4 linked regions of the Diceros bicornis minor genome follow. The protein of the gene in region 4 purifies or fractionates together with the protein of the main gene of each other region. This does not show direct contact. Links are inferred from orthologs where the notes say so. Each region holds a gene or a part of one and is shown on either strand. Other genes may lie near its edges. The genes, in order: WSB1, PCMTD2, ASB2 and CUL5.

Region 1 (7,488 bases), on a different chromosome or scaffold from region 4:
ATACTGTGACAAGTATTGTACTAATAAGTACCTTGTGCTTCCTTGCTCGTTAGCAGGCATTTCAAATGATCTCTGCCTTTTTATCAAATGATTTCAGCACTCATGTAAATACTGACTGGTTACAATATTATAAACTAGGACAAGGTTTAAAATGAAGTGCTTTGAAAAAAAATTGTTATAAGTTAAACTTTTATTACATTACCTGCAACTGTTCAATGTTAGTATCCTACGAAACCTATGATTTAATGACCTTTGTATAAGGGAAAAGCTGCCTGCCCTTGGCAAATCAGCCACAAGATACAACGCTACATTATTAATACCTGTACAGTAGAAACACATCATCTGAGTCATTGCTGAACCAAGCAAACCAGATTTAGCTCCTTCTTCACATTCCTCCCTGCAATTTCATAACCAGAAAGGGAGGATCTGTGGTAGTGCCTCGTGAAAGAGGGCAGGAGCTCAGGGCAGTAACTCCTTGTCACCTAGATGTCTTTAATCATTCATGGAATTTTGCGTCTCCTCTTTCAATATGTACTTGAGAAACCAAACACCTATAATTAATACCCCAAAAAAGGGAAAAAGTCCGTTCTTTCTGATAGATACAAAGCTACACAGAGATATCTGTGTTTAACTTTGTATCCAAATGATACTCCAAAAAAGAAACAAAAAACTGAGGTTTAAAAAAAGGCTAGAAAAGGCCCAAGTTCCTTTAGATAGATATTTGGCAGTTAGCTAGTAACATTATACTACATACAGGAAATAACAATGAGACCTAAATATACAAAAATGTTTTTGTTTTTTTTTGTGAGGAAGATCAGCCCTGAGCTAACATCCATGCTAATCTTCCTCTTTTTTTTTTTGCTGAGGGAGACCAGCTCTGAGCTAACATCTATCGCCAATCCTCCTCCTTTTTTTTTTCCCCAAAGCCCCAGTAGATAGTTGTATGTCATAGCTGCACATCCTTCTAGTTGCTGTATGTGGGACGCGGCCTCAGCACGGCCGGAGAAGCGGTGCGTGGGTGTGCGCCCAGGATCCGAACCCGGGCTGCCAGTAGCAGAGCACGCGCATTTAACTGCTATGCCACAGGGCCAGCCCGAGCAACAATTTTTTAAAATTAAAAATAAAAAGGCTATTTGGATGGTTCTACCTTACTTAAGCATGCTCAGAAGCTCTATCCATCCCTTAGAAGAGAGGACTGGAGGGCCGGCTCCGCTACTGGCGGCCCAGGTTCGGATCCCGGTCTCGCACCGACACACCGCTTGTCCGGCCATGCTGAGGCCCTGTCCCACATACAGCAACTAGAAGGATGTGCAACTATGACATACAACTATCTACTGGGGCTTTGGGGAGAAAAAGGGGGAAAAAAAAAAAGGAGGAGGATTCGCAATAGATGTTAGCTCAGGGCTGATCTTCCTCACAAAAAAAAAAAAAAGGAGAAGTCTGGAAAGTTTTCAAAAAGATTCATCAAGATGAAGTAAAACAAAGATAAATGAAAGGCAGATCACTCACCTGTGATATCACATGCAGTAGGAAAAACAAAAACCCACTGGACTGAGAATAAGAACTTTTGAGTTCTACCTTCCACTTCAGGAAGTACTTACTAGTCTTCAACTACAGTTAAAATAAAAATTGGACATGAACTTTGTGTTCTCTGTATGTTTAAAAAAGTTATTAAAGCCAGAGTTAAAGTCCCCCCCTAACCAGCCATTCAACCTTATCCCTACAAGAACAAAAGTCCAGAATTCTAAGATAGCAGTCTCCAGATATAAAAATTCACCCACTCCAGGATAGAGGGCATTCTGGCTACTTTAGCTTCTCCCTTTCTCTAGAAATATCTCCTCCATGCATTTAGTAAAAGCACACATTTACTTGAAGAACAGGAAAATGCCAAGACTCTCTGCTCAGTAGCCACCTCAAATTTTCATTTAATGAACACAGTAATAAGTTCAGTGTTGGGTTGTCGTTTTTTTTTGGATCCTAAATCTATTTTATTTTTTTAAGTAAAAATTGTATATATTTAAGGTGTCTGACACCATGACTTGATCAGTTCAATGTTTCCTAAGCATAGCAATCAATACACAGCAGCCCCAACTACCCCAAAAGTCGTTCCAGTTATTTTACCTTAAAAGAAAGGATTTAAATAACGCGAGGTGCTTTCAACTGAGTCACTGAGTCGAGTTTGCTCTTCTGTACAACAGCTTTTCTTCTGTCACTCCACCCAACCACTCTGCTCCTCCCTCCTCCTATGTGTAGGAAAGATAATGCCGCGTCTCCTCCCCCGAACTGCTGCCTTTCTTACCGCCGTATCATTTTTTAAAATATTGCTTTTTCCAGGCTGATCGCACCTCTTCGTCGCATTTCTCCTTAAAGTGTGGTTGGTATCCATGAGGACCCCTCCTTTCCTTACAGCTCAGAACACACAAGTTTAGTCTTCCCATCGTAAACTTAACTGAGGGTCCCTGAGACTTGCTCAGCACCCCCCTGTCCACTCGATGCCCCAGCCGCTGAGCCACGAGAATGCCAGAATACTAGCTCGATGAGGAAACTGGGGTCCCCAGGGGTGCGTGTCCGCCCTGGCCTCATGGTCACTGGGGCCCTGGCCACTGGGCGCCCAGATCCCCGTCGACCCTGAGATCCGCGCACCGCTCCCCTCCGTGCAGGCGCACAGTAGGCGCTGCATCAGCGTCGATCCCACTCACCCCCGGCGACACCCACCCACCCGCGGGGCGCTTCCTTCCTCTCCGCTCCAGGGCTTGGCCCCGGCTCCCCCTCCTTCCCTCGGACTCAGAGACGCTTCCTCCCCAGCCTCCTCCGGGAGTCCCTGCCTCTCCGCAGCCCCCGCGCGCCCCCCAGCACCCCGCACCCACCGTCCCGTTCCTCACCGATCTCTTTTTCGTTGACCCTCGGGGGAAAGCTGGCCATCTATGGGGCACCGTCTGATTCCGGGGGCGCGATGCGGACGCAACGACAGAGAAGGGAACGGCGAGCGGAGAGGGGCGTGACGCGGGCTCGGTCCCTCCCGGTCCCGGGGACGGAGGGGAGGGGCGGGGGCGGTCGCGGCGGCCTCTGCCCACTGCCCCAGGAAAGTTCTCGAAGGCCTCGGACCAAACTACAGAGTCAAATACAGACAATAGACCCTGTTCCCTGCCTCACGCCTACGGACCAAGACACTTCCTTCCACGCTGTCGACGGCAAACCAGACACTAGAGACAAAATGGCGGGCGGAGCCGGTGATATCAGGGTGACGGGGCGGGGCTTGATGGCGTCACGGCCGAGGCCCCGCCTCCCGACGCTGGGGACGTGACGGCCTCGGCCCAGCGCCCCGCCCTCCCCCGGTGCGCGGGGGCGTTGTCTAGGGGGATCCGACCCCGAGAGCAGGAAGAGCGCGGAGGCGGGGGTGGAGGGGCTGCCGCCCAGCGCAGCGGGCGGAGGTCGGGACGTCGAGTAGGAGCCTACTGGCTGCGTTTAACTCGGGCTGGTTTTCCCGGCCGGGCCTCAGCATGGTATTTATAAGTTGAGTGCCTTTGAAAAGGCAGACAGACTCGTATAATACTTCTTAGCCCACAGCTTAAAGATTGCATGGAATTTAAACTGGCTGAACCGAAAAGAACACAAGAGACATTTCAGATTTTAACTCGATTTGGCCACCTCCCCAGACCGCATGTGCTAGGGAACTGGAGGTTGCACTGATGAAGAAGACGGGATGAGAATGAACACCGCTATGCACCACACGTGTGGCCGCGACTGTTCTAGCCGGTTTTAGGAAGGGCGGAGAGGACTGGGCATGATGGCGTCCCACCCCACCACGGGACCTCCCTGGGCTGCCTTTGTCCTGACTGGTTCCTCTGCTGGACCTGCCCTGGGGCTGCAGCGAGGTGGTCAGCGGTCTCCTGGCCGCTGGCCGAGGCAGACCCCACCGTGCCAGCTCAGAAGCGGCCCTTCCTGCACCCAAGGTCTAGGCCCCCGGGGGGCAGCTAGCTGTTCACACGGCAGGGCTGATAAATGTGTCAGTGTCTGCCAGAAGCCAAGTTGTTCCCGTTTACAGATGACATATTTGCATTTTCATGGGCCCTTCTTTGGACTCTAAATCTTATTCCAAAGGAGGACATTTAAGGCTGGGAATTTCAAATATGCGGCAGATACTGAGGGGAGAGGAGTTGCGTAGCCAAACTCTTGAGAGATGTCAAATGACAACACGTAGGGCATGTCTACTTCATCTTTTTCTTTGCCTGAGTGATAATAGTGAAATGTTTAATGGCCAATAATAAGAAATCATCCCCCCTCCTTATTAAAAAAAAATCACTTTGTTACATTCAGTTAACGTGTTTATTCACAGCTTACTCTGTGCCTGGCACTGGGGCTCGTTGCTGAGTATTTAGAGCAGAACAAAAGAAAATTTTTAATGCAGTCTTGTAGCTCATATACCAACATTTCTATCAGTCCCTGTTAATTCTTTTAACAAACTATTACTTGTGTTTACTTGCACTATACCATACAAATTCATGGAAAATACCAGTTCTTGAATGTCTGTGAATTATTTTGGTGCCTTTTTCATACAACTATTGAATTCCACAGTAGTTTACTCCTGCAAGCCAACAGACCTTCTGACCATTTTCTCAACTGGCAAAGTATGACAGTGGAATGAAAATAACTTTATGATTTGTGTACTCATTAGTGATAATATCTAGTGTTTATTGGGTCCATACTACATGCTAGACTCTGTTCATATAAGTTCTTTGGTGGATTAACCCATTTCATGCCCACAACAGTATAAGTGGTGTAATTAATCATTCATATTTTACACTTAGTAACTTGACAACAGTCACAGAGTTACTAAGTGGCAAGCGCTAGATTTGAACCTAGGCTTGTCCGACTGCCCTGCCCTACTTCCATGCTACCTTGTCTCTTATAAAGGAAACGTATCTTGAAAAGCAAATATATACTCGTCATTTCACATCTATGTTTGTTATTTTAACGTCAATCTGAATGGCCATCTTATCCCCTGCATATCCCATAAAGTTGGGGTTCTCCAGAGCTCTGTCCTTTGCCCACAGTTTTTTTCTTCTTTTTTCTCCTTGGGTTATGGCAACCTCTCTTGGGTTTAACTATCAGCCGGATGTGAAGACTCTCAAGTCCAGACCTGACTTCTCTCTTGAGCTTAAAAGTTACATATTTGAATACTTACAATAAAGCTCAACATGTCAAAACTGAGCACATCATCTTCTCTCCCAAACCTGCTCCATCTTTTATATTCCCTGCTCTAGTGAACATGTCCACCCACTCATCCAAGCCAGAGGCCAGTCTTCTTAGACTCCTCCTCCTCGCTCAACCACACATGAAATCCATCAGTCCACAAGCGCTGCCAGTATTTTCTCTTAAATTGTTCTGGAGTCTGTCCTGTCTGTTCCAGTTCAGCGGCCTTAGTTCAAGATCTTGTCATGTCTTCTCTCTTAACAATCCTTTATAACCCAGCACTCTGAGAAACCACCACCAGCGCGTTGGTGTAGTTCCTTCCAGTCTTTTTAAAATTTCCCAGCTGTGTGTCGTTCGGCAAGTTATTTAGCCTCCCTGTGCTTCAGTCTTCTCATCTATAAAACAGGGATAGTAATAATACCACCTTCACAGTTTTGAGGATAAGTGAGTTAATACAAGAAAAGCATTTAGAACAGGGTCTGACACAGAGTACTATGTAAGGGTTATACTATTTTTGTATATAGTAATCCAAGCTAACTGCAAAATTGAAAGATCAAAATCTCATAAAAATAAGGGATTGGCAAAGAGCCATAAAAATAGCATTAACTGTATGTATAATCAAAATAATAAAAGGTCTGGAAAGCGTTAATTTCCAAAACAAAGGTGATGCAACCACTAAAGACTCATTCTTTTGAATCTCATTCTTGAGTTACTCAGAAAACATTGCTGCTGTGTGGTTATTTGCTAAGGTCAATTTACTCATAATTTTTATGTGGATATTATCTCTTTCAAAATTTTTGAACCAACATTTACTATCTTGAAGTGGAAGTTTTTTTCTTTTTTTTAATTTGCATCCTCCTTTATTCCATTTTCTCCCATCTCAGCAAAAAGTTGTATCAACAGTCTGGCATTTTCATATAATTATACCACTTAAGGGTATGTTTTTTCTACACCATTTTCTTATACTGACAAGGAGGTACGTAAGCATAAAAGAGGGGGAGCAATAATTTCTACATTCTTTTGTTCAAGGAGAGTAAATATAATGATGCATATGTAAATAATTAGCATTTGAGTAGACGACAACATGAAAGTTGTATCTTGCCTTTTTGCTTTCATATTATAAAATCATATTTTTCTATGTTGATAAACACTTTTCACCACATCATTGTAGGTAAACTTAACTTCATTTGGAGGTGAACTTCTTCCTTTCCTCCCCTGGAATACATAATACTTAATAGTGCAGAAAGGTGGGTTTCTCCTGTAATTAACTTTTCATTACTCATATGGACATTGTGGGTAGATTTCTCTTGATGTCACGAATCTAACCAGTTCGCCATTGTGGCCTTTTGTGGGAGAATCCGTGTTCACCAAAAGTTAGAGCAATTCAAGTGGATTGCTGTTAAGATGTACATCCATATGGGTCTCTGAAGTTAACAGACGAGACTCTAAATAAGGATTCCTGGGACAGATTTCTTCAGAATCTTATTTCTAAACCTGTATCTTGGTGAGAGAAGAAAGTAAGTGTCCTCTTCCTATAACTAAAGGGAAGCAATATTTACTTAAAACAACAACCAAACATGACTAAGATAAAGGGAAAAAAATAACTTTTACAACAGGGGTTTGAAGCCCACCGAATATTTTATTGTTCCCTAACGTGGTTAAATCTCAAAGACGAAAAAGATTGCCATCATTCTTTGACTCTGTATTGACCAAGACCAAACAAACAAACAAAAGTTAGTAACAGCTTGGAAAGCCTGTATTGTTTAAGCAATAGGAGAGTTCCTTCTTTGCTTGTTTTTGCTTTTTGGACCTCTTGTTACTAAAACTACTCCAGCCTAAACCTTAGGCAAAGCATGAGAATTCATCCAGAATTATTCTGTGCTTGGGTGCGGGGTAGGAGTTTCAAATCATGGGATTTGTGGAGTTGAGTATGGTATTCTAGATTGAAGAGTGTGGAATTTGCTCAGGAGTCAACAAGATAAGCATAATTGATACACATAAACACGTGTATTAATAAACAGTAAGAGAAAATTGTGGAACATGCTGGAAAAATAATAGACCCCAGAGGAAAATTCTGGAGGCAACTCCTTTTGGCTGCGGTAGTCTTGCTGGGGATGAAGTGTCTAATAGTGCCCCAGCTTTTACCCTGCTTTCTGATTTTTCACTTTTCTTTCTGATTTCACATTTTCATGGAGTGTTTGACAGTGTGGCATGAGAATATTAGCATGGGTTTTCAAAAATGTATAATTTGATCTTAGTTTACAACTATACCCAGAAGGGCTCAAAAGTGTGAAA
Region 2 (7,814 bases), on a different chromosome or scaffold from region 4:
CTCTTTTGTTTTACGGTTGGAACAATTCACCTTCATCATCAAGATCTTAGAGCTGAATAGGCTTTTCAAATCACTAGGATGGTCCAATTATTCGATTTTCACTCCCATTTTAAGTTGTTGTTTCAGAGTCCTTGTGAGATTATGGTCCATGGACAGTTAATTTAGCTGGGTGGGAAAAAGCACTAACGAGGTCAAGTTTAATCTTGGATAAGCCACGTAGTTCTGACGCTCAAGTCTACATCCCTGGTCTAGGACAGTCATCTTAAAATTTGGGTCACTGGTTAAAAGTGGAGTTGTGTTTGGCTGCCTCACCATCTATTTAGGAAAAAGCCGACAACCACGTATCTATACTCCACGGTGGATCTGAAACCCATCTCTTCCCCCAGAAGCCTGTATACAATCTTCTGTCCTTCCGTCTCAATACCATCATTCTATCTTCAGAAGGCAGACACAAACTTGATACTGGACACGTTTCATTTTCTACTGAGTACCTTTCACTTACTTTCCACTTTGCCTCACTTTGAAAGTTTATGACACATGCAAAGGCTAGCTTTTTGCAAAAATAGCTACAACTTTTTTACAGGCACCACCTGCCAGTCACAACTTCATTTTGGCTTCACAACGTTATGAGGCAAATTTGGACAGAGCAGTCATTTTGCTCATGATCACACACCAACGTGTGAGGAGAAGGCTGGAATTCAAACACAGGACTATCTGGCCAAAGGCCTATTTTCTTTACCCAACAGCAAATGCAGCTTTTAAAAATTCTCAAGGGAGCAACATTCTTTACCATATAACACATTGATCATCTTTGTCCCAAATGACAGACTAAATAACTATGGGGTAACCCTATCTGTTGCCACTGCTAGGATGCATGTGACCATCTGCAGGGTCTAACACATATTAACTTTGCCTGGTAATCTAACACTACCTCACACTGGAAATAACCACTGCTTAGTACTGACCACCGATGTGCTCAGTCAAGCCACCAAAAACACCAATAACAGGTTCAAAGTTACCCTCGCCAAACCAAACCTAGATCTATAATCCCATCAAATCCAATTTTTCAAAGCAATGGCAGATCATTGTTTGGACGCTGCACTTGATTGATTATACTTTGCAATCCTTAATATAATTCACTACTCACAGTAACTGATCACAGCCTAACAGGACAACCTCCTTCCAAAACTGACTGCCAGGGTGCAGTGAGGAAGATGGCTGGGCAGCAGCAGCCATGGAAAGGTCTCATGATTGACAGCTAATGAGGCTGTGACTATGGCCGGGTCAAGACAACATGAAGCTGTGATAATGGGGGTCACCATTCCAGTCTACGCTGGGTTTGTCAGATTATACATGGAGGGCCATGCTCCAACCTGAATGTCACTTCTCAAGAATATGGACAAAGTAATTCACGTGGAAGATGAGCTGGGGCGGACCCAAAACCACTCCTTCCGCAGAGTAATGGAAGAAACTGAGACTTCTTGTCTTGAAACCCAGAACTCTTACAAGGAATGCAAAGGGATATTTTCAAAATACTTGAAAGGCTGCCATGTATACACTGTTCACGGGCCTGATAATGCCAGACCAATGGAACACTTGTTGGGTGGAGACAGTTTATACTAAACACACACAAAAGCTTTCTGACAACTGGAGTTGCAAACAGACACGTTCTCAGAACATGGAGTCCCCCAACCCCAGGGATGTCCCCAGACAGGTACAACCAGGGCTTGGTCCAGGAGCTGAACCCCATCACCTCTGAGACTCCCTCTCTCCCCGAGTGTATGTCTCTATTTCCCCCAAGCACTGCCACAAGTTCTGAGCTGTTTATAGGAACCTGACTTCACTAGTTCTTGAATGACAGTCTATTCAACACGCAGTGCGGAGTTCTTTACTTCAGCCACTCCTTTGCCAAAAAGAACAAAGAAAACGCATACAGGCACACGAGTAAAGGGCGGAGGCAGCGAGTGAGACGACTCTTCTGAGGTTTGATGCTGGAGCAAACATCAACTTGAGAGCCACATCCCTTTGCAAAAACAAACAAAACACAGACACCAAGCCCGGGTAAGTTTTCCTTCCCCAACCACTCCTCCAGTCCAGTCCCAGCGCTCTGCACCAATTCTTAGTAGCCCCAAAACTTGGGGGGGGGGGGCAACTGTTTTTAAATAGACTTTGTCACCTTCCATAAAGGTCCAAGGTAGAATCTGTGTTAAATCTCGATGACTCCTGACTTGCCTTAGGACTAACTGCAAACCTTTCCCACTTAGTAAGTTAGAGACTAGGTGCGCATCGGAGAGTTAAGTAGATCCAAGGGTGCAGGCACCAGTGAGGGGGCAGACCTCGGGACCCCCATACCCAAGCGCCGGCGGGCAAACCGCTGGGCGCAGCCCGAGACTCCCCTCCGGGGAAGGGGACAGGGGAGGGGGGGAAGGGAGACAGACTTCCGCGATGGGGGAGATGCCGCGGGGGGGGGGGGCGACAAGGGGACTGGACGCGGTGGGTAGGGGAAAGCTGGGGTGAAGACGCGGAGGGAACACAGGAGTAGGAAGAGATGGAAGGATACGGGGGAGACCGGGGTGGGGGGAGGGGAGGAGGAGGGGGAGGGGGGACGGGAGGGGGAGGGGGGAAGGAGGGGGAGGGGGGACGGGAGGGGGAGGGGGGAAGGAGGGGGAGGGGGAAGGAGGGGGAGGGGACGCCAGTGGAGAAGCGGAGAGGACGGCCCAGGGGGAGAGGATGCCCCCGGGGGAAGGGAGAGGACGGCCCCGGGGGAGGGGACGCCAGCGGAGAGGAGGGGGGGAGGACGGCCCCAGGGGAGGGGACGCCCGCGGGGGAGAGAAGAGAACGGCCCCTGGGGGAGGGTTGAGAACGGCCCAGGGGAGGGGAAGGGAGGACACCCGGGAGGGAGGGGAGAGGACGGCCCCGGAGGAGGGGAGGGGAGGACACCGCGAGGGAGGGGACGGCCCCTGGGGAGGGGGCGCCCGCGGGGTATGGGGGCAGCTGGTGAGGAGCGCGGGGCGGAGGGCGGCGGCTCTACCTAGGGCTTGGCCGGCGCGGGGTCGAGCACTGCCCGGCCTGCAGCTCCTTGCCCCTCGCCCGTCGCCGCCGCTCCGCTCCGACCTCCGCCGCCGTAAACACCCGCCACCCCACTGCGCCTGCGTGCGCGAGGGCTCCCACTACGCGTGCGCCACGGTCCGGAGCTTAAAGCGGCAACGGTGCCGTGGCTGGGCCCCGCCCGCGCTCTCTGCCCAAGTCCTCCGGGCCGGACCGCTGATCGCACTCTGCGGGGAATGGGGGGGCGGGGGGGGCGGTCAAAGGGCAGCCACAGGTGAGAATTGTTACGTCCGGGCCTCACCGCGAACCAGTACTTGGCTGTGAGCCGGCTAAGCAGGGCCCCTTCTCTGGAAATGACATTCCAGGGAGGGGCTGACAGGGGAGGAGGGAGTGAAAACACGGGGTGACTGACGGACTGAACTGCGGTGGTGGCTTGGGGACCACGGAAGAGACATCCGAGCTAAGATCTCGGGATCTCCGGGGAGACAAGAAGGAGGCAGCCCTGTGCAGAGAGCAGAATGGGGGGAACCCCTGCCGGCCGAGGAGGCAGAGCCCGTCGCCACCTCCCACTGTTACTGCCCAAAAAGGGGGTTCGTCTGGCCGCCACAAGACATACCAATAGTCAAGACGCAAGGAGGTAGGAGAAAAAGGACTTTTTATTACAGCTTGCTAGCAAGAGGGAAGGTGGCCGTGTCACGTCTCGAAGAGCCATCTTCAGGAGGCAGAAGATCTTACAGCAGTTATATAGGCCATTGAGTTACAGGGGAGAGGGTTAGGAATGTTGACCCCAGGGTGTTATAGACTGGGAGTGGCCACACCAGATCTTTCAGTTTTCACTGATGATGGCTATCAGCACAGACTCTCTCTTCAGGAGTTATCACATTCCTAAGGAACTCAAAAGAACATAGTTATCCTCTTATGGCAGCTGGGAGGTACATGCACAAGCAGGGGTGGTAAAATCTACAGAGCAGTTAGATCTCCTGGAGGGTGCAGATCGAGCTGGGCTAGTTAGTCGGAGGTCATTCAAAGTTACAACAGGGTTTCTCTTCTACAGTATGGTTTCCCTCATGTCAACCTTGTCTTGAGCCGGTATCACCACCCCTGCGCCTGCACAGACCTTCTCCTCTCCGCGCGGTTGGAGGGACCTGGTCTAAGCTCCCCGCAAAGTGAGCCGAGAACCAGTGTTTCTTCTTGTCTGGCTGGTTTGCATAGGAGTCTCCATGATGGCAACTGGAGACATCCCAGCTGACACAAAGACTGGGAAACCTCTTGGTTCACGGGACACTGGGTGGAGCACACAGAAGGATCTTGCCTTGGTAGTGAAGATAATTAGCCCACACTGGTTACTGCTCAGACCCCACTAAACAAGTCAAAGAAGGACTTGAAACTGCTTCCTAGTAACTGTGTCCCAGAACAAAGCTCAGGAATATTTGTAAGAATACAAAATATAACACTCAATAAGGTAAAATTCACGATGTCTGGCTTCCAATCTAAAATTGTCAGGCATACAAAGAAGGAGGAAAATACAATTCATAATAAGGAGAAAAATCAATCAGTTGAGACTAACTAGCCCCTCCCACACCCATGAAGGTCCCGTTTCAGAAAACCCTGGCGACCAAGATAACTGAGCACTTGAGTGACCCTGCCTCCAGTCTCCATGTCGTAGTTCCTGCCCTTATGATTCAAGTTTGCCAGTAATGAGTGACCCCATGAAACCCAGACATCCCATCCTCAGACCCTAATAAGCGCAGGGCGCCCCCCGCCCAACAACCTCACTGTGTGGCCCTTGGATACGCCAGGGACCCTCCAGGACTTGTGAGTAGTAAGTCTTGTTCCTCAGAGTTCCCTCATGGTTTTTGCTAAAGTGCATCCTGCGATCATAATAAGAACCATGAGGGCCGGCCCAGCCACAACACTGGCCCCAGTAGTGGGGTGGGAGGGAATGTTTGTGGGGCTTACTGCAAGTAGTACAGGCCCTGGAAAGTGCCTCAGGCATTCCTAGCCTAGAGCATCACCATCACTAGGGGGGGGTACCGACACAACAAAGAGCAAATTAAATCCAAAATGAACAGAAGAAAAGAAATAATAAAAATTAGAGCAGAAATCAATGAAACTGAAAACAAGAAATCAATAAGGAAAATTAATGAAACCAACAGCTGGTTCTCTGAAAATAATGGTAAAATTGATAAACCTCCAGCCCTAATACCAAAACCAGACAAAGACATTACAAGAAAGGGAAAGTATAAACCAATATCACTCATAAACATAGATGCAAAAATCCTCAACAAAATATTAACAAATTGAATCCAACAATACATAAAAAGAATTACATACCACAGTCAAGTGGGATTTATTCCAGGTGTGCCAAGCTAGTTCGACATTCAAAAATCAATCAGTGAAATCCATCATCACATCAACAGGCTAAAGAAAAAAATCATATAATCTTATCAATAGATGGAAAAAAAGCATTTGACAACATCCAGCTCCTATTCATGATAAAAACTCTCAGCAAACTAGGAATAGAGGGGAACTTTCTCAACTTGATAAACATCTACAAAAAGCCCACAGCTAACATCATACTTAATGGTGAGAAGCTATATGCTTTCCCACAAGATCAGGAATAAGGCAAGGATGTTCTCTCTCACTACTCCCATTCAAGATTGTACTAGAAGATCTGGCTAATCCAATAAAATATGAAAAGGGAGGGGGGAAGGTATACATATTTGGAAGGAAGAAATAAAACTCTTTGTTCATACAGCAACTAGAGGGATGTGCAACTATGACGTACAACTATCTACTGGGGATTTGGGGGAAAAAAAAAGGAGGAGGATTGGCAATAGATCAGCTCAGAGCCAGTCTTCCTCAGCAAAAAGAGGAGGATTAGCATGGATGTTAGCTCAGGGCTGATCTTCCTCACAAAAAAAAAAAAATTAAAAAAAAAAAAACCTCTTTGTTCACAGATGACAAGATTGTCTATACAGCATATACCCAAGAATCTATAAAAAATAAGTAAATAAACTCCTGGAACTAATAGTCAAGTTTAACAAGGTTGCAGGATACAAAGTTAAAATTCAAAAATCAAAGCTTTCCTATATACCAGCGATGAACAATTGGAATTTGAAATTAAAAACACAACACTGCTTACATCAGTACCAAAAAAATGAAATACTTAGGTATAAATCTAACCAAAAAAGTATAAGATCTATGAGAAAACTACAAACCTCTGATGAAAGAAATCAAAGATCTAAATAAATTGACAGATATTCCCAACTTTATCTGTAGATTCAATGCAATTTCAATTAAATCCTAGCAAGTTATTTGTGGATATCAACAAACTGATTCTAAAGTTTATATGGAGGGGGAAAAGACCCAGAAAAGTCAACACAATGGTGAAGCAGAAGAACAAAGTTGGAGGACTGACACCACCTAATTTCAAGATTTACTATAAAGTTCCAGTAATCAAGACAGCGTGGTATTGGTGAAAGACAGACAAATAGATCAATGGAACAGAATAGAGAGCCCAGAAATAGACCCACATAAATATAAGCAACTGTTCTTTGACAAAGGAGCAAATCAATTCAATGGAGAAAGGGTAGTCTTTTCAACAAATGGTACTGGAACAACTGGAGATCCACATGTACAAAAATGAATCTAGACACAAACCTCTCCATTTTCACACAAAAGTTCTAGAAGATAACATCGAAGAAAATCTAGGTAACCTTGGACTTGGCAATGTTGTTTTACATACAACATCAAACACATGATTCATTAAGGAAAAAATTGGTAAGGTGGATTTCATTAAATTTACATTTTTCCCGTCTGTGAAAGACACTATCGAGAGAATGAAAAGACAAGCCACAGATTGAGAGAAAATATTCACAAAACACTTATCTGATAAAAGACTTGTATTCAAAATATACAAAGAACTCTTAAAACTCAACAATAAAAAAAACAAAACAACTCACAATGCCCTGGACAGGTGTCTCAGCAAGAAGATATACAAATGGCAAGTAAGCATACGAAAAGATGCTCCACATCTCATGTCGTCAGGGAAATGCAAAGAAAACACCAGTGAAATACCGTACACACCTATTAGAATGGCCAAAATCCAGAACACTGAGAACACCAAATGCTGGTGAGGATGTGGAGCAACAGGAACTCTCATTCACTGCCAGTAGGAATGCAAAATAGTACAGTCACTCTGGAAGACAGTTTGGTGGTTTCTTACAAAACTACATAGACTCTTACCATACGATCCAGCAGTTGCACTCCTTGGTATTTACCCAAATGACATGAAAACTACGTCCACACAAAAAACCTGCAGACAGATGTTTATAGCAGCTTTGTTTGTAATTGCCAAAATTTGGAAGCAACTAAGATATCCTTTAATAGGTGAAATGGGCATACAAACTGTGGTATATTCAGACGATGGACTGTAAATCTGATAAAAAGAATTGAGCTATCAAGCCATAAAAAGACACGAAGGAACCTTATATGTTTATTGCTAAAGGAAAGAAACCAGTCTGAAAAGGCTACATACTGTATGATTCCAACAATATGACATTTTGGGAAAGGCAAAACTGTAGAAAGAGTAGATCTAAGATTAGTGGCTGTCAGGGATGAGGGTAGGGGAGAGAGAGGGACAAATAAGTGGAACACAGAGGACTTTCAGGGCAGTGAAACTATTCCGTGTGATACATAATGGTGGATACATGACACATGCATTGTCAAAACCTACAGAATGTACATCAGGAATGAACCCTGGT
Region 3 (7,261 bases), on a different chromosome or scaffold from region 4:
CAAGCATCAAGTCCTCCAAGCACAAAGCAGGAGTGTGGGCACAGAGTCACTTCTTCACTGCTTTCTCTTTTATTAGGAAAGGGAAAGTCCTTCTTAGGAGACCCCAGCAGAATTTCCTTTATGTCTCTTCGGACAAAACTACGCTATATGTCCACTCCTAAACTAGTCACTGGCCAAGGGATAAGATTGTCCCAACTGACCATGGGAGAGAGCACACTGTTGCCTGAACAAAGCCAGGTTCTGCTGGCAGAGAAGATGGGGGAAATGGCTGTTGGGTGGGCCATCAAGAGGGTCTGCCACACCCTACCATATGGAGACATTTGGCCACCAGTGCAGTTGACTTTAACTGGGCATTCTCTTTGCATAAGACACTGGCCTTGGTGAAGAGGATCTTGGGTCATGTCCACACATGGACTACTGACCACAGCCCAGAGGGAGAAGTTCTAGCATCGAAACACTTCTTAGAAGAATCTGGGTAGGCTTCCCGGAAGAGGAAGCACTTGCTCTGGGCCTTGAGGGATGAGAAGGAGTTCTAAGAGTGCAGGAGGGAGGGAGATGTGTCAGGCACAGCCCAAGCAAGGGCACTGGAGTGGGAACCGCAGGCGGGTTGGGGGAAACGTGTGTCCCCGCCTTACCTGGAAGTCAGGTGTGTAAAGGAAGAGGGTGAAGGGAGGGCGAAGACTAGATTTCGAAGGGCAAAACCACTGTGGTATTTGGTAAATTGATGGTATTTGCTAAAGGAAAACATACACATTTGTTTAATGGTAACAACTCTCCTTTGCTATTTGCTAGGGCTTCATAGAGCAACAGTTGTTACTCTTAGGGTGGTAACAGGAATTGGAAAAAAGAATATCTACCAAGAGCTCGGTGTCAGGTGCCACCCCTCATCCCCTCCCCCCATGGCTGTCCCGCCTCTATTTGTACTTTATGGCTGGTCATTCTCCAAAGTGGTGGTTCCCGACCACCTGGGGGGCTCTTCAGAGAAGTATGATACCGGCCCCACTCCCAGAGATCCTGACTTAATTGGTCAGAGGTGGGGCCCAAACACTGATACTGTTTAGAGCTGATTTTATACACTTTTTAAGTAGCTATGTTTGCAGTATAGGTGCTCACAGAGAAGTCTACAAGCCAAACTTGAGCAGCTCCTGGGAGTCTCACAAAGGGAACCAACCAGCCGTGTAACGACTTAGTTCAAGAAACACAGCATGGGGACCAGCCCAGTGGTGTGGCGGTTAAGATCGCATGCTCCGCTTTGCTGGCCCAGGGTTTGCCGGTTCGGATCCTGGGCACAGACCGACGCACTGCTTATCAAGCCACGCTGTGGAGGCATCCCATATACAAAATAGAGGAAGGTGGGCACAGATGTTAGCTCAGGACCAATCTTGCTGAGCAAAAAGAGGAAGATTGGCAACGGATGTTAGCTCAGGGCCAAGCTTCCTCACCAAAAAGAGAAGCACAGCATGACCGGCTCCCTGGAATCTCCCTCCTGTCTCCCCTCAAAGGGAACCACTGTTCTGACTTCTATCAGCACAGTTTAGTTTTGCCTGTTCTTGAACTTTGTATAAATGGAATTGAGTATACATGTTCCTCATTATCTGACCTGCTCACTGTGGTTGGTGACATGCATCCTGTTGTGTGTAGTGGCTGTTTGTCACTTTCACTAGAGCATGCTAATCATCCCGTGAATACACCACAACGTAGTCATCCACGAGAGACATTGAGGAGTGTCCGTTTGGGTTTACCATGAATGGCGCCGTTATGATTCTTGAACTTACCCTTTGGTGAGCATATGTACACAATTCTTTTGGGCGTAGAGCTAAGGGTGGGCGCTTGGGTCACAGGGCATGTGCATGTTAGCTTTAGCGAATGCCATTCATTTTCCAAAGCGGTTTTACCGTTTCACACTCCTACCAACGGTGCTGAGCAGTCTGATCGCTCGCATCCTCCCCAGCTCTTTCTAGTTCCCGTCTTTTTCACTTGAGCCGTTCTGGTGGGTGTATAGTGGTATTGCGTGGGGGTCTTAATTTGAATTTCCCCCGGACACTTACGAAGTTAAGCGCCCTTCCATTTGGTTATTGGCCATTTGGATGTCCTCTTTGTGAAGTACTTGGCCGAATCTTTGGGGTATCAGTTAACTAGAGCCACAGGAATGCTACATAAAAAGCACCCCAAATAACCATCTACTCTTGTGCTTTGGGTCTGCAAGACTGCAGACAGGCTAATCGAGGCCAGCCCAGGCTGCTCTGCTCAGCTTCGGGCTGCAGGCCCTGCCGGGTGGGGCTCCTCTGTGCAAGCTGGACTCTGTGAACTGCCCCAGGGGGGTTTACTCCGGGGTGCAGCTAAAGGGCAGTGGCTGCAGGAGGAGCTCTGCTCTGGCGATGACGGGAAAGCCAGCCCCACTGCACAAGCCCATGTCAAGTGGCTGCTTTGTCATGTCCACCAACAGTTACCGGCCGGAGCAAGTCACAAGGCCAAGTCTAATCTCAGTGAGTAAGGGGGCGGGGCACTCTGCCTCCAGGGGGAAGGGGTGAATATTTGCCGAACAAACCAAATTATAGCACTGACATTTTGGATATATATATATATTTTTTGGTGAGGAAGATTAGCCCTAAGCTAACATCTGTTGCCAATCCTCCTCTTTTTGCTGAGGAAGACTGACCCTGGGCTAACATCCGTGCCCATCTTCCTCTACTGTATATGGGACGCCGCCACAGCATGGCTTGATGAGTGGTGCATAGGTCCGCACCCAGGATCCGAACCTGCAAACCCTGGGCCACCAAAGTGGAGCATGCAAACTTGACCACTACACCACTGGGCCAGACCCACATTTTGGATATTTTTAAAAAGACCTCATATGATTGTAATGTTCAGCCAGGGCTAAGAACCATTGACCTATAGTCACATCATGTGTCAGCTTAGTTGAGGAAAAGAAAATCAGGCTTAGTTGATTTCCTAAGAGCAGTTGATTCAACCAAAGTCCGTTTCTCCTTGAGGCATTTTTTTTTTTTTTCCAGAAGAGAGTCCCTGGAATTAACATGGCAAATTATTTTAATAATTGATTTTAACTAGGTCATGCAATCTTAAGTAGCGGGCCTGTGTCCGATTCATCTCTAGTATTCTCAGCCCTAGGACAGTGCAGAGAAATGGAGAAGTGCCGGGACAGATGGGATGTTGTCGGATAATTAGAAGGGAGGAATGTAAGCACCATTGTGTAAGCTCCAGGAGGGCAGAGATTTTTGTCTGTTGGGATCATTGTTGTATCATAGCGCTTGGAAGAGTGCCTGACACAAAATAGGTGCTCAATAAATAATCTCTCATTTAATGATGCATGCATACACGTATAGATAGGCCGTGTGGATTGGAAAAATGAATTGTGGATGGTTTGTTGGATAGATAAATGTATAGATGGATGGATGGGAGGATGGGTGGATAAATGGAAGCATAGATGGGCAGATAGATCAGAGGATGGATAATGGAGGAATGGGTGGATGGTTAGATGATAGATACGTGAGTGGCTGGCTAGGAGCGTGGATGGTTGAATGGATGGATGATTAGATAGTTGGATAAATGGATGGATAAGTGGACAGATGGGAGGGTGGATGGATATATGAGTGGCTGGATAGACAGACGGATGCATGGGAGGATGAATAAATGGACAGATGGGTGGCTGGTTGGATGGATGGTTAGATAGGTGGGTGGACTGGTGAATAGATGAGTGGATGGGTGGATGGATATGTAGATGAATGGGTGGTTGACTTGATCATATGACAAAATAAATGGATAAAAAATGATTGCGTGATTGCCAGAAGAGAGCACAGCCTTCCCCGTGGGTAAACATAGCTATGTTGCAAAACTGTTAGTGACCAGGATGGTTTTGGTCTCCTCACAGGGTTTTCTGATTTGCAGTTTCCTCCTCCCCTCTGAGTGTCTCTCCTGGAGGCTGGGCTGAGAAGTGGAGGAGGATGGCCACTGAGATCCGTGCTCGGGGCGGACAGCGTACCATTGGGCACGAGGAGTACAGCCTGTACAGCAGCCTGAGTGAGGATGAGCTGGTCCAGATGGCCATCGAGCAGAGCCTGGATGACAAGACTCGGGGCCCTGCCACTGCTGAAGCCACTGTGTCCACACGTGCCAATCGCCAACCTGCCCATTTCTACCCATGGACCAGGTGAGCGAGGAGAAACCAGCTGGGTCATCCATCAGGTGCAGATCCCAAACACTGTTAATCCAAGGCCAAATTATCGTGATCTCTAGGCTGCACTTTAACACCTTAATGACTTACATTTGTTATCTGAACGTACTGAGCTCTGATGGTGCCAAGTGCTGTGTGCTAATCCTGTTAAGGACCTTCTAGGAGGCTCTATGCTATATTCCCATTTTACAGATGAGGAAACTGAAGCTCAGGGCTGAGTAACTAGTTCAAGGTCACACAGCTAGTAGATGGTGTTGCAGAGATTGGAACTATCTGGGTCCAAAGCCCGTGGCTTGGCCTGCACAGCTGACTCAATGTTTGAATACAGTAAAACCAATGTTCTGAGTCTGACCAGAGCTTCCAACCCCGTCTATGCAGCCTCTCTGGGACAACACATCTGAGAAGCAAACGACAGCTACCCAGCAGAGCCATCCTGCCTCCTTGTTCTGGCTCCCCCATCTCAGCATGACCATCCCAGATGCAGGACCATCTAGAGCAGCACCACGTCGCGCCAATAGAAATACGGCGTGAGCCACAACTGCGGCGACACTTATGCAGCTGTGAACATCCTAGTAGCCACATTACAAAGTAAAGAGGAAGAGGGGAAATTAATTTGTGTCTAAAATATTATCATTTCCACACATCACCGATATAAAAATTGTGAAGGAGATTTTCACATTCTTTTTTACATGTCAAGGCTTTGGAATCCACTGTGTATTTTGCACTCACAGCGCCTCTCCATTCAGACTAGCCACATCTCAAGGGCTCACTAGCCATATGTGGCCAGTGGCTGCCGTACTGGACAGCACAGACCTAGAGGACACCTTCTCTGTAGGAGGTGGAGCCAGAGAGGTAATTAGGTCTTGGATCTTAAAATGCTTTTAGAAAAGAAATATACACATTTTAAAAATGTTTCTGCTCACCAGTGAGTCCAAGTCAAGTGTGTATTTTGGGGTTGGTGGAAGGGGCTTGGGAATTGCTGTGACAGTTGTGTTGGTGTTACCTTGGGGCATGGGCCTCAAATCTCATTGTCTCCAGCAGCCAGCTGACTCCCTGTGTGACCTTGGGCAAGTCACTTAACCTCTCTGAATCTCAGCTTCCTTCTCTAATAATAATAATAGTAACAACAGCAGCAACAATAAATAGACTTTTTCCAATGTCCAGTCCCAGTTGACAGGGATGAAGGTGGGTGACAGTCCGTCTCAGCCCTGATGAAACCTACCAGGGCGCTTCCCAGGTGACTTTGGCCCTTACTGAGGCTGGACCACCTCTGCCGGGCAGGCTGGGCAAAGGCCTGGGAGGCCCAGCCCTGAGGAGCTCCTTCTAAAGGGGAAGGCAGGCAGCCTCCTCGGGCAGCTGGAGGGAGTGTGAGGCTCCAGGTTACTGAGCTGCCCCAGAGGACGCCCCATTCTGCGACCCAACCAGAAAAACAGGAGCCCAGAGCCGAGGACTCCTCATGGGGGTGCTCTCGGAGGCCTTGGTTCCTGTTCTGGCCAGTTCAGCCAGAGTCAGACCACAGGTTCCCCTTTCTCAGTAGGGCATCAGATAGAGAGAGAGCACCCTCCCACCTACTGGGCCTGCAGCACAAGCCGGCACGTCCCGGGGCGTCTGCAGCCTTCTCCCCAGCATGGGGGCCCCACCCAGGTGTCCCAGGGACACTTAACATCCTTAGAACTGAAGGGGCTCTTGAGGTTGGGTCCTGACCCCCTCCTTCCTCTAGAGGGTAGGGAAGCAGAGACCCACTGTGGGACATAAACGTTCACCCAGTCTCCTAAAAAAAAAGCTCTCACAGAGGGGCTGGCCCGGTGGCGCAGCGGTTAAGTTCACACTTTCCGCTTTGGTGGCCTGGGGCTTGCGGGTTCAGATCCTGGGTGTGGGCCTACTCACCGCTCATCGAGCCAGGCTGAGGCGGTGTCCCACATAGAAGAACTAGAAGGACGTACAACTAGGATATACAACTATGTACTAGGGGCTTTGGGGAGGAAAAAAACCTCTCACAGAGAAGTGAAATGACTTAGCCAAGGTCAAGTGGCCCTCACCTAAGATCCAGGCACAAGTAATGTAGGGGAGAAGGATTCGGCCTTCATCTCACCCTTGATGTGACCTCAAACCTCCTAGGTTTGGTTCTGCCCCTTTGTCTCTGGAAGGAGGCTGGGCTTGGGCCCTGCTGGGGAAGTAAATCCCTTTACTCTGATTTTTGTGTGTGCTTGTGTGAGGAGGACTAGCCCTGAGCTAACATCTGATGCCAGTCCTCCTCTTTTTGCTGAGGAAGATTGGCCCTGGGCTAACACCTGTGCCCATCTTCCTCTACTTTATGTGAGACGCCGCCACAGCATGGCTTGACAGGTGGTGCGTTGGTGCGCACCTGGGATCCAAACCTGCGAACCCCGGGCCTCCAAAGCAGAGTGCACACACTTAACCGGTGCACCACCGGGCGGGCCCCCATTACTCTGACTTTTAACGTAATTCTCCTCCTCCTGCCCTGAATGCACACTGAGTGCTTCCCACGTGCCTGGCACACAGCCATTCAGTGATCCTTACGAAAGCCACACAAGCTGGATATTTCTGTGCCCGCTTTACATATGACAAAACATGCGCACAGTAGGACCAGGAACTGAACCACAGTCTGGCCTGATCTGAAGTTCAGACGTGTCACCAGCTCTGCCGATTCTGCAAAAGCCTCTTCTGTTTCCTCTCCCTCCTCCACCTTGAAGTGGGGTCGGTCTCACTACACCCGCCTCCCACCCACAGAGACTCAGGGTCCCCAGAGACATGAGACACACAGGCTTGTGCCTGACACCAGACAGGGCATCACAGTACGTGCAGGACCCGACAGAGTCCTTGTTTGCTTCTATCCCTGAATGTCACAGTTTCCATCCAAATAGACTCAGAGCAGGTGTAGGAACAGGATGTCACACATGTCCCCAGAGGTCCCACATGGTTGGCTCCTTCTCATCCTTCAGGTCTCAGATGAACTGTCACCTCTGCAGCAAACCCTGCCTGACCACCCTCCCAGGTCAAGTAGGTCGCCCCTCTTATCCCTCTCTGGGCTGTTTGCTTCACCACCCT
Region 4 (7,596 bases):
AAACTTCTTCCACTATGATGATTAAAAATTAAAAGGGGTGATTGCTAGTTTCCCCCCAATGCCCACAATGCCAAATCCCTCTTCCTTTCTTCCTGGGCACATGGTGGCCCTGTCTAAGTATGGCCTTGTAATTAATTTCTCCTCAATGAATTGCGAGTAGAAGTGATCTGCACCACATTGGCCTTACTTGCTTAAAAGGAACATTGCTTGATTTAGATTTTTTCTTTTCCTTTCCCTTGAGCTGGCACACAGTGTGCCTGCAACCCAGCTTTGTCCACGCAGATGATGAAAATGTTCTAGGGATGGCAGAAAAATAAGAGGGAAGATACCTGAACGATGGTCTGGAGCAGAGCCACTCCAACAACTTGGACCACTGACCTTGAGACTGTTACACAAGAGAGAAACAAACTTCTATCTTTAATGAAGGCACTGTAATTTTGAGTCTCCTCAATACAGCAATTTAACATTTAACTTCATTAAAACATAGTGTTAATAATAAAAACTTGACATTTGAGTTTTATATTACAATTTACAATATGCTCACATACACATTACTTTTCTAAACCTTCACTTTGATTTTGTTCCTTTTTATTTTTTGCAAGTATTGTCTACTAGCACATGTTAATCTAAGATCAAAAACTAAGTCTTTATTTGTCAATTACACCTCAATATAGCTGGAGAAAAAAGAAAACTAAGGCTAATTATGGTCATAATTATCAGTTCACTACTTTGTTGTTCTGTAACATATTTGTTTATGCTTTCAAGCTACAATTTGGGCTGTCTAAAGTAGGTTCCTTTTTGTTAGTTTATATATTACCACCAAGAAACCTCCAAATATAATATTTCCAACAAATTCCTAATGGTGTGATTATAACTAATGACAGGAATATATCTTCATGAACTATAGTACCTTTCTATGACATAAATGTGCAAGGATGTCTATTATTCAAAATAAGTATCTGTATTTTCTTGGAGAAAGATACAGAATGATTTAACAGTAATTGTTTTAAATGCAATTTTATGGAAAAACACATTCTGCTAAAGGGGAGAAAAGCAAGTACATATTTGGAGGTAGCTACTGAAATATGTATGTATTTATGAATACTTCTTTGGTAAAGAGCCAAACAAAATAAAGTATGACTCATTGTCAGTAAACATTCCCTAAATGTCCTTGCATTATTATGGGAGAATGACTGTCTGGTTTTAATAATGTATATAAAATGAATTACTATTTACATTCTTCTTAAAGGCATTAAAAAACAATGATCTATTTAGCAGAAAGGTCTTTAAAATCTACCAAATTAATTATCCTTTACTTTCTTGCCAATCAGTTTAGGAGCTACTTTTAAAGAAAGAATTATTAGATACAATAAGATTTTACTACCTGTATTTCTTGTAGTTGCAATTCACAATAGCTGCTAGAAGTTTAAGGCATAAAGAACATGTTTTTATTATATTTATGTCAGAAGGTAGAGCAAGAGCTATTAGTAAATGCTTTTTTTCTGCCTTTTTTATGACCATGGACTGTCTTAAAGTTCATCTCTGATTGAGATCACAAGTGAAGGAATTTGCCATCAACTTCAGAATGGTAAAACTGCAAGAAATATTAGAGACGATGATGACTCCTTCATTTTACAGATGAGGAATCAGAAGTTTGAAGAGTTATTTTAATTAAAGGAGGCTTCTTGAAAAAAAATTCTTCAGAATTCTAGGTATTGTACAATTCAAATCAATAACCTTAAACATCTCTCTGAAGGGCTGGCCTTACCGTATGTCCACTTCATACACAGGAAAACTAAGGTAAAAGCAAGCTAAGCAGTTCACTTATCATCTCTGTGAATCGGTGTCACAGCTGGGAATGGAAGCCTAAACTTTAAATGTTGGAACATTCTCAGAAGTAGGCTGATCTCACTCGGAACAGATGCTGGCTGGGGTGAGGGGAAGCCACGTTTGGGAAGTCCCGTCATGGAGTACTGGATTTCACAAGCAGAGTACTTGCTGAAGATTGCAAAATGCTTGCTTAAATGAATTCCAAATGATAATGCAATCTTAAAAAACCTCCAAACAGTACAATATATCCCATTCCCTACCTTCCTCTAAAAAAAAGTGTCCTTGAATTCTAGAAATTGGAATTGTGCTTTATATCTGGTTCAATCTTAAATATCCAGGAAATGCATAAGATTTACATTTAGTTTTTACTTATGTAACATGAGTCGCCTTTGTGAAATCTTTCCTTCAGGGTCTCAATGAACATTTAGAATGAAACTATTCATTTGGATCCCTCCTTCTCTATTTAGAAATGTATTTTCTGATCTATTATCACCCTGGAACGTTAAGTACCCATTATAAAATAAAGGAAAAGTTCCTGACAAATCTCAGTATAATCTCTCTTTTCCCCACCAAAGCACCAATGACGACAAACTTCTAAAGACACCACAACCCTTAGAAAACAAAACAAAACAAACCCTCAGCTGTGTCAGTGACCCTGATGTTACATCCAGTTGCTGAACAAGACACATTCCCACGGGTCCTAGCCCAGTATTTGTGATGACCACATTCGGCGCTATGAGGTGTTCAAACCATTACCGCATCCATCTCCCTCTGAACCATGCCCAATGAGATCATGCAGTAACCTGGGTTGGAGCACTGCTTGCTGTGAAGCTAAAGGGATCAATCACGAACCTGGAAACGCTACTTTTGCAGTTCTCCCGGGCCGCATAGTAGGAAGCCGTTTGGTTAGGGGAAGAAGAGGGGAGCTTGGAGGTGGGTGGCCAGGTCAGGGGGTGCGCATCGAGGGACGCTGAGTTTGGGGAGAAGGCAGAGGGGAGCCGAAGAGCTGGGGATCAAAATACCAGCAGGGGCAGAGAGAGCTGGGGAAGAGGGGGCCGGCGAGGGTGACCCCGGCTCAGGCGGGAAGGAAAGACGGAAAGGGGGCGCAGGAAATGGGCGCCAAAGAAAGAAGTGAGAAATTGCGGAGGAGGAAGTCGTCCCTGGAAGAGGAGGGGCAAAGGGGAAGCGAGAATGGAGTGTCTGCACTTTAGAGAGGGGGGGGCCGGAGCCTCTCCCGACCAGGGCTGGTGCGGCTGGCGCTTGGGGAAGGGGCGCCCGGGCGGACGGAGGGGGCGACGCGGTCCCTGGGGTCCCCGAGGTCCCGGGGGTGGCGGCCCTACCTGAACCGCTCCTGTCCCGCCGTGTCCCAGAGCTGCAGCTTGATCCTCTTGCCCGGCTCGATCTCCAGCAGGCGGGAGAAGAAGTCCACGCCGACGGTGGGGTCGCAGGCGGGGGAGCGCAGCCCGGGAAAGCGGCCCTGGGTGAAGCGGTGCAGGAGGCACGACTTGCCCACGGTGGAGTCCCCGATCACGATGAGGCGGAACTGGTAGATCCAGATGGTCTCCATCGCTCACGTGCCCCGCCGACTCGCTGGCTGCCCCACCCGCCCTCCCACCGCGGGGCAAGTTCTGCGGCGGGAACTGTCCGTTCAGCACCTCCCGGGCGCCCGCCGGTCGGCTTCCAGCATATTCCTGCGGCTGCGGCCGCCGCCTAGTCCCCGCCCTCTCTGGAGGGAGAGGCGGGGCCCGGCCGGGGCGGGGGCGGGGCCTCGGGCCAGGGGGCGGGGCGGGGCCGCCGCGCGAGGGAGGGGGAAACAGGCTCGCAGCGCACAGACTCCCGCCCCCGACCTCTGTAAATCACTCTCCCTCAAAGCTCACTGGGCGTGGACGGGAAAGCGGGTGTGGTGAAAGGACGTGACGGCAGCAAGAACCAATGAAAATGAAGCAAGGTCTCACCTCTGGGAGGGTCAGCCAATGAAAAGTGAGAATCGTTTCCTTACAGGCTTCAGGGCGGGCTCGTCAGATTCAGGCTCTGATTTTGGAAGTCGCAGAGGCCATAAGGTGGGTCACTGCTCTTGCTTCTTTCATCAGTTTGATCAGCTTTGTGACTACTGTTACCTTCTACGTTTCTGAAGATTCCAGTTGGCCGTTTCCTGCTCTCTAGCCTTGCTGAGCGCCACCTTCGAGGCGTTCTAAGGTGAAGGAGTTGAGAGCAGGATGGAAAAAAAATTTGCAGAGCAAATTCTGGATGCTTCTAGCAAGGGTTTTGGCCATTGTTCCTGGCACCACCAGCTGTTCCTCAGTGCTTTCAGTACCACAGAAGAGTGAGAAAAATGCCAAGTAGTCATCTCCGTACTCTCAGGCGCCCTCCAGCCTGGAGAAAGGAGAAAAAAAGTGAAATATTGAGATGCTTATGAAAGCTCCCATTCTTCTTGTCTCAGTTCTATAAATCGGAAAAATCCTAAAGTGGTCTCTATTTAGCTTGTGTCTGGTCAGGGATCTAAATAAACAAAGCACACCTGAATTCTGGTGAGATCTTACTATATTCTAATGCCTTTCTTCAAACTAGATAATAGTGAATTCAAGATTTAATTTTTAAAACTTAAACAGTTTTTAAAGTGTATTTTTGACAAAATAGAATTTTCAACAATTCCACTTTTTTTCATGCCCACATCCAAACTTATGCTATCGTTATTAATCCTTACTTCCTTTCTTGTTTTGGAGGAAGAGGTTTCACTTTGAAGGGTGTTTTTAATCCCCTGCCACCCATCTTCTTTGAGCTTTTTTTCCAACGTTGATGTTTATTTCATACCATTTATATCTTAAAAGTCCTCTCTCCAATTGTTTCTACTCCTCAGCCTGTAAACATGCTCAAGTATCCACAATCCTAAAACCAAACAAAACATCTCTCTATTATGCCTCCTCTTTAGAATTTTGCTTCCTCCATTATTCTCCTTTTCAAACGTTTGGAAAGAACCACCTATTCTCATTTCTCAACCATCAGTTAGTCTTCAACAGTCCTCTCCATGCCTAATATACCCCTGAAATTGCTTTAGATAACGTTGCCAGGGACTTCTAAACATCACCCCGTTCCCCATTATCTATCTTTAGTTAGCAAGTTTCTTGACCTCCCTGTAGTTTTGTTGAATATACTCTGTTGCTGAAAGCTGATTGGCTGACCCAATCACAGTCCTATCCACAGTCCTCTTTCTTCTAGTCCTCCTCCACCTATGGATGAGCAAGTGTGGGAGTTCTGACCAATGAGACAGAAGTAGGGCTTCTGGTAAAGCTTTTGCTTTTCTGATAAGGGACTGGCACTCCTAGTGCCCTTCACCCTTTCTCCTTTTCTTTTCCTTTCTACCTGAAAGATGTTAACAACCATCTTGTGACATAAAAATGAAGGATAGATGCTAAAGATGGTGGTAGGAGAGAAAGGAAGAGCCTGAGTCCCTGATGGACTTGTTGATCTGTTGTACTAGCTCTGAACATCTTGTTTGAAACAAATCAATACCTGTTTAAGCGACTGGTGGTTGGATTTTCTATAAATACAACCTGAATACTCTTATTTCTTGTCTTCTACAAAAGCATTGTCTCCTGGTTTCCTGTACTTTTGAACCTTCTTCACTGACTCCTCTTTCGGTGATCCATTTCTTAAGCACTGAAGTTCCTAAGAGATCCATCTATCCTCTTTCCCCTTTCTCCTTTTTTTCCTTCACTTGGAGCTGTTTCTGGTGACCTCATCTACTCCACTGACTTCAGTTACTCCTTTACCCAAACCATGTGTCCTCTCCCCAACCTCTGCTCTGTCTTCAGACCCACATTTCCAACTATCTCTCTTTTTAGATGTTGGATACACATTTCAGACTCAGTACATCTGTGCTGGTTAAGATTCTTTGAAACAAACTCCAGTTAGGGTGATATGAAAAGATGAGTGCACTTATCATAAGGATATAGGGAGAAATTTTACAGAATTCATAGGCAGGAATACAGCTGGTATCAGACAGGGATTGGAACCAGGGAAGGGAAAGCTGTAAGGAACGCAGGCAGCATATGTCTCTGTCTTTTTCATATCTACTTCCTTCTAACATCTGCTTAATTCTTATCTCTCTGCAAACCAGCTTTCTCTGCTGCTTAGTCCGTACGGAAGACTATATTTGCTGCAGATCCCGTATTAGATATCTAGACACATATGGAGACCGATGTCCGTTTCTCTGTAGAGACGATCTAGTTGGCCCAGTTGGAACAGGTGTTCATACCAAAGAGATATGGTCTGTGGGACAGGAACCTGCAGCAGGCCAATCCCTTTGGATGGGGTATATGGGGTATTAGCAGGCCTGGAGAAATGATGCGTCAATGGCTTCCCTTTGTGTCAAAAATATATTCTCTATAATGTCCAAAAATTAACTCAATGGCTTTCTTGCCTTGTTTTCTCGTCCTATATTTTACAGGTTGGTTAATGGTTTTAGTATCTATTCTAGCTCCCTAGACAAGTGAGAGCTTGTGGTGCTGGATCTGGAAGCTGGGAGTTTGTGCTGGGTATGGAGGAGGGATAGAATTGGTCTAAAGGCATCAGAATGTAGAGCTAAGGATAACCTGAGAGATAGCATCCAGGACAGAACTAAAATGGAAAGGAAAGTAGGTAGGTCAACTGAAGCCTCTTAAAGAGACTGGGTAGAAGGAGCAGAATATAGCTGTGAGCCAACAGAATAGAAATTGGGGAATCCAGCCCAAAGAAAGGTTTGAATGGGAAGTCAGAAGCATAGCTTGGTTAGATACCATTAGCCAGAGGAAAAGGCATGGGACTTTTTATAAGGTCCCTAGTCTCAGAAGAGATCTGGTGAGGATACTAAGGTAGTTTAGACAGTACATTTAGTTGATTAAAATGGAATAAAAACCTTGTCCATCTTGGACTTGTCCCTCTCCTTTGGCATACTCAGCCAATCACTAAATCTTGTTGCTTTTACCTCAGCAATATCTTTCAGATTTATGATTTTCTGAACTCCCCACTGTCGTTGTCTGTTCAATCTCTTATCACTTTAGACTGTACTGCTCAATAGCCTCTGCATTAGTTTCCTAGGGCTGCTGTAACAAAGTACCATAAATGGAGTGGCTTAAAATAATAGAAATTTATTGTCTCACAGTTCTGGAGGCTGGAAGTCCGAAATCAAGGTGTTGACAGAGTTGGTTCTTCCTGATGGCTGTGAGGGAGAATCTGTTCCATGCCTCTCTCCTAGCTTCTGGTGTTCCATGCCTCTCTCCTAGCTTCTGCTGGCAATCTTTGGTGTTCCTTGGATTGTAGATGTATCACTCCAGTCCTTCACCTTCACATGGCATTTTTCCTGTGTCTCTTCACATAGTCTTCCCTCTGTATATGTCTGTGTCTGTGTCCAAATTGCCCTTTTATACCAGTCATACTGGATTAGGGCCCACCTTAATGACCTCATCTTAACTTGATCATCTGCAAATATAGTTTCCAAATAAGGCACAGTCTGAAGTACTGAAGGTTAGGACTTCAACATATCTTTTTTGGGGGGTACAATTCAACCTATAACAGTCTCCCGTTTAGTTTCTATATTGCTTCCAGAATTACTTTATTAAACACCTTTGATGACTTATTCACCCTAGGAAAAAGTCTAAATACCTAATCATGTCATGCATGACCAATCATAATATGACATGGGTGATCTAGTCAGTGATTCCTCTACAAGACATGCTATTCATGCTATATGTATATTTTTCATGCTATTCTCTCCTCTCCTTATACCCC

Evidence for each region.
Region 1: the proteins of CUL5 (region 4) and WSB1 purify together in Homo sapiens (affinity purification with mass spectrometry; 4 studies listed by BioGRID and IntAct, counting the BioPlex papers as one, with this or other methods). This does not show direct contact. The link is inferred for Diceros bicornis minor from reciprocal best matches to the Homo sapiens genes CUL5 and WSB1.
Region 2: the proteins of CUL5 (region 4) and PCMTD2 purify together in Homo sapiens (affinity purification with mass spectrometry; 4 studies listed by BioGRID and IntAct, counting the BioPlex papers as one, with this or other methods). This does not show direct contact. The link is inferred for Diceros bicornis minor from reciprocal best matches to the Homo sapiens genes CUL5 and PCMTD2.
Region 3: the proteins of CUL5 (region 4) and ASB2 purify together in Homo sapiens (affinity purification with western blotting; 5 studies listed by BioGRID and IntAct, counting the BioPlex papers as one, with this or other methods). This does not show direct contact. The link is inferred for Diceros bicornis minor from reciprocal best matches to the Homo sapiens genes CUL5 and ASB2.

Annotation. Positions count from the first base shown.
Region 1 is NC_080757.1:20,206,852-20,214,339, forward strand, and holds the start of WSB1 (WD repeat and SOCS box-containing protein 1), read right to left. Parts: upstream 3,191-7,488; 5' UTR 2,923-3,190; coding exon 2,883-2,922; intron 1-2,882. UniProt on the Homo sapiens protein: Probable substrate-recognition component of a SCF-like ECS (Elongin-Cullin-SOCS-box protein) E3 ubiquitin ligase complex which mediates the ubiquitination and subsequent proteasomal degradation of target proteins.
Region 2 is NC_080758.1:26,782-34,595, forward strand, and holds the start of PCMTD2 (protein-L-isoaspartate O-methyltransferase domain-containing protein 2), read right to left. Parts: upstream 3,141-7,814; 5' UTR 3,032-3,140; intron 2,399-3,031; exon of another isoform or gene 2,177-2,398; intron 2,167-2,176; exon of another isoform or gene 31-2,166; intron 1-30. UniProt on the Homo sapiens protein: May act as a substrate recognition component of an ECS (Elongin BC-CUL5-SOCS-box protein) E3 ubiquitin ligase complex which mediates the ubiquitination and subsequent proteasomal degradation of target proteins.
Region 3 is NC_080763.1:39,509,642-39,516,902, reverse strand, and holds the start of ASB2 (ankyrin repeat and SOCS box protein 2), read left to right. Parts: upstream 1-3,962; coding exon 3,963-4,168; intron 4,169-7,261. UniProt on the Homo sapiens protein: Substrate-recognition component of a SCF-like ECS (Elongin-Cullin-SOCS-box protein) E3 ubiquitin-protein ligase complex which mediates the ubiquitination and subsequent proteasomal degradation of target proteins.
Region 4 is NC_080746.1:27,791,402-27,798,997, forward strand, and holds the start of CUL5 (cullin-5), read right to left. Parts: upstream 3,422-7,596; 5' UTR 3,398-3,421; coding exon 3,171-3,397; intron 2,844-3,170; exon of another isoform or gene 2,683-2,843; intron 1-2,682. UniProt on the Homo sapiens protein: Core component of multiple cullin-5-RING E3 ubiquitin-protein ligase complexes (ECS complexes, also named CRL5 complexes), which mediate the ubiquitination and subsequent proteasomal degradation of target proteins.